2 linked regions of the Mus musculus genome follow. The protein of the gene in region 1 purifies or fractionates together with the protein of each later gene. This does not show direct contact. Links are inferred from orthologs where the notes say so. Each region holds a gene or a part of one and is shown in the gene's direction. Other genes may lie near its edges.

Region 1 (5,232 bases):
TTCTTTTCTTATTAGATATTTTCTTTATTTACATTTTAAATGTTATCCCCTTTCCTGGTTTCCCCTCCGAAAACCCCCTATCCCCTGCCCCCTTCCCCTGCTCACTAACCTGCCCACTCCTACTTCCTGGCCCTGGCCTTCCTCTACACTGGGGCTTAGAACCTTCACAAGACCAAGGGCCTCTCCTCCCATTGATGACTGACTAGGCCATCCTCTGCTTACATAGGCAGCTGGAGCCATGAGTCCCACACCATGCGTTTTCTTTGATTGGTGGTTTAGTCCCAGGGAGCGCTGGGGTTACTGGTTAGTTCATATTGCTGTTCCTCCTATGGGGCTGCAAACCCCTTCAGCTCCTTGGGTCCTTTCTCTAGCTCCTTCATTGGGGACCCTGTGCTCCGTCCAATGGATGGCTGTGAGCATCCACTTCTGTATTTGTCAGGCACTGGCAGAGCCTCTCAGGAGACAGCTATATCAGGCTCCTGTCAGCAGGCTCTTGTTGGCATCCACAACATGTCTGGGGGATCCATCCCATATACAATAAACTCTCGATTTCTTAAAAGCAAGGAAACCTTCCTAAACAGCCTCCAGCATGTTCCTCTATGTGTTAATTAGCAAGTCAGCCACTTGCTAGAATGAATGGTGTCAGCTGGAGGGAGCCAGAGAGTCCTGAGCCCCACAAAGGGTGAAGGCTCAGAGGATGAAGTCACTCACTCCTGTTGCACCACCAGGGAAGTGCTTTGCTCTGTATGAAGAATAAGCTAGACACCAGGGCTCACTCCTGTGTTCCAACACTTCAGAGGCTGAGGCAGGATGTTTGTATAGAGTTTGAGACCAGCCTAGAATGAAGATTCGGTCTCAAAAATCCAAACAAGAAAAAAGAAAGGAAGGAAGGAAATGAAACATTCCTCCAAGTAGAACATTCTCTAAGGATAGATAGGAAGGCTTTATCCTGAGGCACATCTGTGCCAGGAATACCCACTGCAATTGTAATTGGCCAATAGCCTACAATTTGGCCCAGCAGTCATGGTAGGAAAGAGATAGAGCATCAGAGACACATGAACAGCCCAGTCAGGCCCACTGAGGCCAGCAGCTAGTCCCTAGACATAGAGGCCTGCTGTCCTCAAGAGTCCACACCACAGCTAGGAGTACCAATGAGCGCTGACTGCCAACTCCACCAGGCTCACAGCAAGTCCAGGAAGCCCGGAGAGAAAACCCTTTGCCCTGAGGCTGGCTGGGTGTCTGTAGCTGGTGCTCCGTGGTGAGCACTGGTGTAGAACTTAGGTAGAAAACAGGGTAGAAGGCGGTGGTGGCTCAGGAGATCAGTTTAGTCACTGGCACCATTGCCACCAGTGTCTAATCCAAACCATAGCAAAGTCAGATCTCCTCCACACCCTGTCAGAACGCTCTCAAATACATTCCTAATCCTCAGGTCTGGTGCTCCTGATCGGCCACTGCAGATCCCTCGTCTCTGGTTCTACCGTTATCAGAAGCAAAAGCAAGGGATGTGGAACCAGTAAACATTAGCTAGATTACGGCTGGGCTGGAGGTAAGGAAGGTTGTTCAGCCATGTGCCACTTCACACCTAGGCAGCAAAGAACCACCTTCCCTGGGTGCTAGCCATGGTGATACAGTTGTAAGGTAGAAGCAGGAAGCATTTGACAGGGGGCTGGACCACAAGGTAAAACCCAGGACTGTGGAGGGTCTTCCCTGAGGCCTGGTTTCTGGAAGGCAGGACAGAGACTGGGCCCCAGGAGTAGGTAGAGGTAGAGAGTAGTGAGTCATGAGAGCTGGATCAGGACGTGTTTGGTTTGGTCTCCAAGGGAGTCAGTCCCAAAAGGGGTGGTAATGTTCGCTCCCTGTAGCCACCTGAGGATCCTGTGTCTTCTGTCCACGCCACGGCAGGAGGTGTGACCCCCCCCCCCCCCCCGCAGGCCTAGGGACCCAGGCCCATGGCACTCGCCATGGAGTCCTGGGCTCACAGCCAGGCTTCCGTTTTAGAAGAGGAGTGAACGGGGCGGGGGTGGAGAAGGGGTGGATCAGCACCCGACGAGCCACGCGGGGGCGATGACAGCCCCCCCCGCCCCCCCTCCCCCAGTCCCGCAGGGAGGCGGAAGCAACAGGGCGGCGGCGACGCGCTAGGGAGTCGCGGCGCGCGCGGGGCCGGGGCGGGGGCTGCGGCGCGCGCATGCTCACACGCGCCCGTGACGCGCGGGGCGCAGCGGGGCAGAGCCGGCTCCAGAGGCGCGGCGGCCGCGGGAGGAGCAGGCGCGGAGCATCGAGCGCAGGCCGCGTCGGCCCGACGGGAGTAGCGCCGGGCGCAGGCCGCCTCCTCCGAGCCGCCTGCGCGCGGGCCGAGACCCTTGGCCGCCGCCGGCGGGGCATGAGCGCGGAGGGGCCGCGGCCGCCCCCCGCGCCGCCCAGGCCGTGACCGGGCGGGGGGCGGCTGCGCTAGCGCCCGCAGCCCAGGGGCTCGCGGAGCCGGGAGCGATAACCATGGACTGCAGTCTATTGAGGACGCTCGTGCGCAGATACGTGAGTGGCTCTCTGTGATGGGTCCGGGGTCCGGGGTCCGGGTCTGGGTCAGGGTTCAGGCCCGGAACGTCCCGCCGTCGGGTCCCCGCCGCGCTCCACCTGCGCTCGGCCAGGCCCACCCGGAAGGCAGTTGCAGCCGGGTCGATCCCGGGGTCGAGGGACATCCATCCTTATGGGGGTTGCGCTCAGCCCCAGCGGGGCGGGCCGACGCGGGGACCGGGACCGGCTGGGACATATGTACGGGGCTGCGGGGAAGCGGGGAGCCTCCACAGGGGAGTCAGAAGTGAAGTTTGCCATCTCTGAAAGTAGTCAGCCAGGTCCGAGTGCGTAGTTCCCGGCTCCCTTGGATGCTGCTGCGCGGTTAGTGACGGAGTGCCTCACCAGGGGAGACCAGGGAGGTAGGTGGCATCCATCAGCCGGGATGGAGCAAAGTGGGTGTGTGTACAGAAAAGAGAGAATCTGCCCCGGGACAGCTTGTCTTCCCTAAGCTGGACACAAGGACCTATTGTACGGCAGCTGGCGCGGGGTGGTCACAGGTTTGAGGAGCGCGTGCCTTGCCCAGTGCGGGCTGGGTACGGAGGGGACCAGAGCCGGCTCTCTCTAGCTTCTCTGAGTGACACTTGTCCTTGGATGTGGGTTTTTCTGAAGGGGAATTTACCCGGGTTTTTCTTCTTGCTTTTCTGGTTAATTTCCATCCAATTTTGGCCTTCCAGTAAGCAAAGAATGAGACTAGGAAACTGCAGCCCTCCCCACCCCACCCCACCCCACCCCACCCCCGTGGGAAGCGAAAGGAGGAGGGGTGGTCTTCTTGGTCCCTGTAGACAGTCACCTGCCAGCTTCCCAGGGCCACAGGACGAATTTTCCGTCCCTGGTGCTGTCTTTTACTTCCACAGTGCCCTTAGGCAAGCCTTCAGCTATTTTATATTTCCTTATCTAGGTAAAATTTCAAGTTAGTTTCTTTTTGCTGTGCTATTCTACTTTCGAAGTGGTATTTTCTCTCAAATCTAGGCTGCAGATATTCCTTAACGAACTTTGCCACTCTTAATTATTTGATAATGCATCTGGAATGTAAGTTATGGAATGTTATTCCTTCTGCTCATCTCATTTTTGACTGCTCTGCCACAGGCCTTAAACTCGAGTCTAAGCCATGAAATTAATTTGACTTTTCCCCGAAACAGTTATGGCTTGTTTTCTTATTATGTATTTATCTTCCAAGATGTGAGGTTAAATTATATTTTCTTTTATAAGAAGAGAAAAAGAGATTGGATATTCTTATCTCCTGGTTTATTCGACTCATTCTACAGAAATGAGCCTCTCCTCTGTAGCCTGCTGCCTTTCACACAGTCAGAATTCCTGAGAGCAATAAAAGCACCACAGCTCCCTCTAAGGCCATAGGTTGCTAAAGAAGGAGTCATCAGCCCTTGGACAAGAACACTGTCATAGGTATTTTGTCCTGGGTCAGTTCTCGGCAGCGAATACAGGCAGGTAAATGAAAGAGAGAACTCTGTCTTTGAGGCCAGTCCGCCCCATGCTACACGTTGGTCACATAGCTGTGTGAACAGCTCATGCGCTCTTGTAGTAGCCGATGTTCCAGATATAGTCTAAGTCATATCATGCATCTTAGGCATTTTAAGGAGCACATATAGAGCCAGTGACACTTCCTCTTAGATATGTAAAGTGAGGAGTGTGGCTCAAGTCAGCGACCCGACCCTCTCGGAGGACCAGCTGCGGAGCCTCCCGGCAGAGGCTAGAGGAGGCCTTTGCAGCCGTGGACCTGGTGGGCCTGGCTCCTAGGGTTGTCCTGCTGCAGTGTCCTTGTCACTGTGCCTTGCAGTTCTTGTGAAGATTGAGTGTCTTAGTCTAGAAAAGGGGTAAGGATGGGGCCTGGTTCCCCGGAGAGGCTCAACAAGTTTACCAGCACCTAATGCCAAGGTTCCCTAGGGGGTAGGGGTGGAGTTCTGGAACCCTTCAAAACTTTTACTTTTTTGAGAGAATCTCCCTAAGTGTGATTGGTTGGTCTGGATCTCACTATGTAGTCTAGGCTAGTCCTGATCTCACAGAGATCTGTGTGCCTCTGACTTCCCAGTGCTGGGATTAAATGCATTGGCTACCTGACCCAAAGCCCTGTTAAAAAGGGGTGGAAGTTAGTTGGTTCCCCACAGGGCTTTCCTGGGAGAGTAGGGGAATGAATTGGTGGTGGGTATGGTTTGTATACTTGGGAAAGATAAAATAGCGGAAAGCGAGGCACGGGGCACTGCTGCCAGCCAAGCAGGAGCAGTTGCAGAGCTTTCTTAGAGGCAGCTTCCCAGGCCAGGCTCCTCATGGAGGGAGGCCCTTTCCCTTTTGCCTCCTGGCTCATGCTGAAGGGATTTGATTTCCCCTCAAGTCCCTGTAGGTCAAGAGCTTCGTTTTGTCATGTCTGAGTGACGTGTTTCTGTGATGGGGCCTGGATTTCATTTATTAGGTTTTATGGCTTGTCAGAGCCTCTGCCTTCTAAAATTTGCTTTGCAGGCAGCACACATTGTCTAAGCCTGAGGCTTCCCCCACTTTACCTTCTTTCTTTCTTGGTGACAACTTGCGATTGAACCTAGGACTTCGTGCATGCTCAGCAAGTGGTCTACCTCTGAATTATATCCCTAGGTCCTTTGAGTTCCTGCTTTGAGACAGGCTCTTCCTAAGTTGCTCAGGCTGGCCTTGAAC
Region 2 (5,059 bases), on another chromosome or scaffold:
GCTCAGAAGCAATTTTTTCCCCTGAATATTTTCAATTGTATGTTGAAGGTTCAGTTGTAGCACTATTTAAACCGAGTTCTAGAGTAGAAATAAAGGAACTAACACATCTAACTGTGATAATCTAAACAGGAGTGGGGAAAAAGAAAGAAAAAGGACTCCATGATTATCCCCAACACTGTGATGAACATTTTACCCAACAGAACGTTTAAGACAACAGGCTAAGCCTCTCTATGACAGACTCTTTTCCATTTGAATGGGGTTGAAGGTAAACTTAGGCTGCTAAAGCAAGATACAAACCTAAGGATTCTAGAGGCCTTAAGAATTTGAGATCAGCTAGGCTGTGGTGGCCCAGGCCTTTAATTACAACACCCAGGAGGCAAGAGGATTTATACAAGTTTGAGGGGAGCCTGGTCTACACAGAGAAACCCTGTCTGGAAAACCCGGGGCCGGGAAATCCAAGATCACAGAAGAACATACTGGAGCAAGTCAAAACTGTAGACAAAGACTTTTTAAAAGTAGGTACTGTCAGATAGTCTGGATTTCAAACACAATTTCAAAATGTAGATGCTATATAATCATTTTTTTTGTAAATTTGCAAAATTACACACTTATAAAAGAAAATTTGTAAAATATAGAAAAGAAAAAATCCTGCCTACAGTCAATCAATGGAGGTTAGCATCTTACGCTTTATAGTTGAATTCTACACTTTGTATTCTCTGTACTGCTTTGGTGTCTTTGAGTTACTAATTATTGTTTATTTATTGAGACAGGTTCTCTATGGATTTCCTGCTGGCCTCTTAAGTAGCTCAGACTGGCCTTGTAATTTCAATTACTCTGCCTTTACCTTTCAAGGGCTGACATTACACATAGTCTCAACGAGAATTTCCTTGGCAGGTTAAAACTAATACCCCTTTTTAAACAAGTGGTATTATGTTCTGGTTTTTGATTACCAAGTTTAAAAAAAAAGAATCACTGTCATGTTTTACAATAACCTTCCCAAACCAATGTGAAGTAGACAGAAAAATAAATGAAAATCGATCAGAAGCGAGGGATTAGGGCTAAACTAGGTTGCATCATCATCATCATCATCATTATTATTATTATTATATCAAATGGGTCGCATGTTATACCTCACTTAAATTCATAGAGGCACACTGAGTGGCGAGTTAAAATTCAATAGGGATCTGCATCCTTTTAAACATGTGGACTCCAGGACGCTACAACTCCCTTCAGAAGAGGCGTAGGCGTCATAAGAAAAGTCAACCCGGCGCCGAAATTACAGGTAGCCCAGGTCACCGAGTCCGACCTGACGGCTCCAGAAGTCTCCATGATAACCACAACAGGAAGTGTGCGCCAACAGAAGCGTCCTCCCGGGGAAGCGAAGACGCTACCGTCCTAGTGCGCAGACGTCGCTCCGGGCCGCGCATGCGCTCACGTAGCCGCGCGCCCGGCCTAAAGCCCTCACTTTGTCGTCACAGGGCAGATGATCAGGGTGCGTCCGTCTTTTTCCTCCCCCTTCCATCCTCCTCCCCCTCCCCTCCCCTCGTCCCTCAATCATCTCCCCATTTCCTCTCTCTCCCTCCCTGGGGCGTCTCCTAAAGACGCCCGCTTCCGGTCAGCGGCCGGCCGCAGAAGCGTGTCCCGCCTCTTCCGCCTCCCCGGTGGCGGCGCGGGTGGCGGAGGCGGTAGCGGCAGCGGTGACTGCGCGTCTCCTGTCAGGGTCGGCGGCACGCAAGTCCCCTGGGCGGCCCAGCTGGACGTGGCCGAGCCGAAGCCCGGGGGCCGATGGCGATGAACTATAGCGCGAAGGATGAGGTGGACGGCGGGCCCGCGGGTCCTCCCGGGGGCGCCGCCAAGACCCGGAGGCCGGATAACACGGCCTTCAAACAGCAACGGCTACCCGCCTGGCAGCCCATCCTCACGGCCGGCACGGTGCTGCCCACCTTCTTCATCATCGGCCTCATCTTCATCCCCATCGGCATCGGCATCTTCGTCACCTCCAACAACATCCGTGAGATCGAGGTGAGGGAGGGGCGTGGCAGTGATCCCCCGGCTCCCAGAAGGTGACAGGCGGGCCCCGCCCTCTGGTGCCTTCTCGGTTTCTTCTGTGGCTTTTCTGAGTTTGCAGTTTTGTGGGCTCGCTTCCTTTGGCTCTCGGTTTACCTGGCTGGAAATGGAATGAATACAGCTAGAATGTCGGGTGGACGAGACTTTTTTTGGAGGCGCTTTGCGTGGGTTTCCGAGAGGTAGAGTGAATGTCTTTTAGGAGGAGATAAGAGGAAAAAGAGTTAGATTTACGTGTTTAACTCTGAGGCAACTCACAGGGGCAGACTGTTGTTATTTGGGCGGGGGTTATTCTGGGACACAGAGATTAACAAATTGGTTGGGTGTAGGACCCGGAGTCAATAAAGGTATTGATTCTTCTGTGAAGAAATTAAGTCATACAGAGCGCACACAAGTAACTTTGATTTTGAGCTAATTAGATATTTTTAGTTGTTGGCCACGATATAGTTAAAGGCATGAAACTTCAGTTCTGGTTTGTTTTTAGGCGGTATTCATTTCTAATTATGCCCCACAGTGGTCCTAATTCCTCCTGCTTGATTTTTAAAATATGCATATCAATGATTCCACACGAAATAAGTTGGAAACTAGCTATAAACGATTTCACTGGCATTACTTTTTTTTTTTTGGAATATCCTACTTAGATGTGATAGAAACACTCTACTGAGGGAAACATTTTGATTTGTGTTGGTGCAGTAATCACTGCATTTTTATCCGTCCGCATCAGTAAAGATGGGTTTATAGCAGGATGTGAGTACTGTGTGGCGGACAGTATTGGACGTCCACAAGTCCTCCATCAAATTAAGGGAGTTTTCATCTGTTTGAACTGGCAAGATCGATGTTGAGTAACCTTGCTTTCTTCTGTTGTAAAGATATATTTTTGTGTACTTAATTTAAAAATAAATACTACATTTAATTGGACGTCCCCAGTCATTTTAGCTAGGGACTTTGGTGACTTTGTTCAGTTTACTAAAGTAAGCTGGTTTATATATATATATATATATATATATATATATATACATACATACACACACACACACATATATATATATATTTTAACTGCACAGTGCTTCAGTATTAATGACAGTAAGAATAGTATCTAGAGTGTATTTTAAAAATCTTTTATTAAATTTTATTTTGACTAGAGCAAGCTCACAGCGTATGTTTTTGGTATATATTTTATCTTCGTGGTTTTAGCCTTGTGATATACTCAAAGGTAGCCCAAAATGCTCCAAAATGTAAATGAAGCTCTGGGCCAAACAGGTTGGGCAGGAGAAAAGTTTTGATTTTAGAATATTTTGGATTGTAGAGTTTGAGATTAGGTATGCTCAACTGGAGAAAACTATACAAACGTACAGAATGTTTTAAAAAAAAAAAAAAAAACTTCTCGGATGTAAAACACTTCTGTTCCCTGTCATACCTAAACCCTGAGCTCTGCAGCTTTAATTAGATTTCAGGGGGGGTAATTGACTTACTTTCTCTGAAGGTTAGTTTCTTCATCTCTAAAATAAATAGGATAATGAATTTCTTCTAAGATTTTACACTTAGATGCAAAATAGATGTGCGTTATGACCCATCAGCAGGAGATGAGAGCTAAGGACCAGCCTGAGGGATGGCTGGACTGTTGGGAGTGTTAATGTCCTGATTCCAAGGTGTAAACTCTCACACTACATCATGACCCTTACTGAGATGATAGGAAAGATAATGGGATACCTCCTAAGCATTAGACCTTTGCACCATCTCCTTTAAACTTGATATTAAGATGAAAGCAATGATGATTTAGATTGTGTATGAATATTTACTAAATTGTTAAAAAACTAGTACTGTTTACTACAGTTGGAAAATAATTTTCTTTAAAACTTTTGGGTTCTGAAAAGTAAAGTAAGGTTCTGTAAACTTAGTGATTAGTGAAATGGAAATTTCTTGTGCTTAGTGTGCCCCTGATTTTAAGAGTGTATTGTAGTGGCACAGAGGGACATTGGAGTTAAGAGCTGGCCTAGAGCGAAAGTTCCAGCTCTCACTAGGTGGTGATGGAACCCTTTTTTTTGTGAGCTGCTCTTAATACTACAAAGATTTAGAGTGGATGATCCTTAAGATGCCATTCACTTCTGAAAGTCTGTGACTCACAACTTAATTTTGATTTAAAATAATGCTATGTTCAAAAAGCCATAATTGAAATGAGAGAAAATGAAAATTAGGAGTTACTGGAAATTTTGTATTAACACCAACACATGCAGATAGAATGATTAAAATTTGAGTGTTGGATATGTAGCAAATGATTTCAAATTAGGTCTGGAGTTATTAGAAAAACCTAGAGAGCTTTTTCGACATACAAGTTTGTATGCTTGTTCTTTATTCTCTGTGTGTGCTGGAGATTGAACTCTGGGCCACGAGGAAGTGCTGTCCCACTAAGTCCTCTACCTTCTGTTAGCTGCTAGCTTAGGCTAAACGCCTTTGAGGATAATTAAAAGTGAACAGGAGGAACTGGAGAGCTGGTTCAGCACTTAAGAGCACTGGCTTCCTTTGCAAGAGTACCCAGGTTTGATTTCTAGTGCCTACATGGTGGCTCACAACTGTCTTTAACTACAGTTCTAAGTCATCCCATGTCCCCTTGCAGCCTCAGCAAGCATCAGATACCCATTTGGTCCACCCACATACATGAGAAGCAGAGGTTGGTGGATCTCTGGGCCTGGTCTACATAGTGAGTTCTAGAATAGGACTAAATGAATGATACTGTATCACAGAAAGGAAGGAAGGAAGGAAGGAAGGAAGGAAGGAAGGAAGGAAGGAAGGAAAAGAAAGAAGAAAGAAAGAGATAAAATAAAGGTAAACAGGATGTGAGCAGTTCTCCCCCACACTGATTCCTGCTGTCTGTTTTACATGGTTTAAGTTTCTTTTTGAAAACTCAGTAGTCCACGTGCAGTATAGTTCAGCTTACTAGGGCAGAAGACTTATAAATCAAGATGTTTGGTATGGCGTGTTTGCTTAGAACTTGGAA

The links. The genes of interacting proteins can lie anywhere in the genome.
Region 2: the proteins of Atp11a (region 1) and Tmem30a purify together in Homo sapiens (co-immunoprecipitation; 4 studies listed by BioGRID and IntAct, with this or other methods). This does not show direct contact. The link is inferred for Mus musculus from reciprocal best matches to the Homo sapiens genes ATP11A and TMEM30A.

Annotation. Positions count from the first base shown.
Region 1 is NC_000074.6:12,754,821-12,760,052, forward strand, and holds the start of Atp11a (probable phospholipid-transporting ATPase IH), read left to right. Parts: upstream 1-2,195; 5' UTR 2,196-2,493; coding exon 2,494-2,532; intron 2,533-5,232. UniProt on the Homo sapiens protein: Catalytic component of a P4-ATPase flippase complex which catalyzes the hydrolysis of ATP coupled to the transport of aminophospholipids, phosphatidylserines (PS) and phosphatidylethanolamines (PE), from the outer to the inner leaflet of the plasma membrane.
Region 2 is NC_000075.6:79,789,937-79,794,995, reverse strand, and holds the start of Tmem30a (cell cycle control protein 50A), read left to right. Parts: upstream 1-1,565; 5' UTR 1,566-1,785; coding exon 1,786-2,022; intron 2,023-5,059. UniProt on the Homo sapiens protein: Accessory component of a P4-ATPase flippase complex which catalyzes the hydrolysis of ATP coupled to the transport of aminophospholipids from the outer to the inner leaflet of various membranes and ensures the maintenance of asymmetric distribution of phospholipids.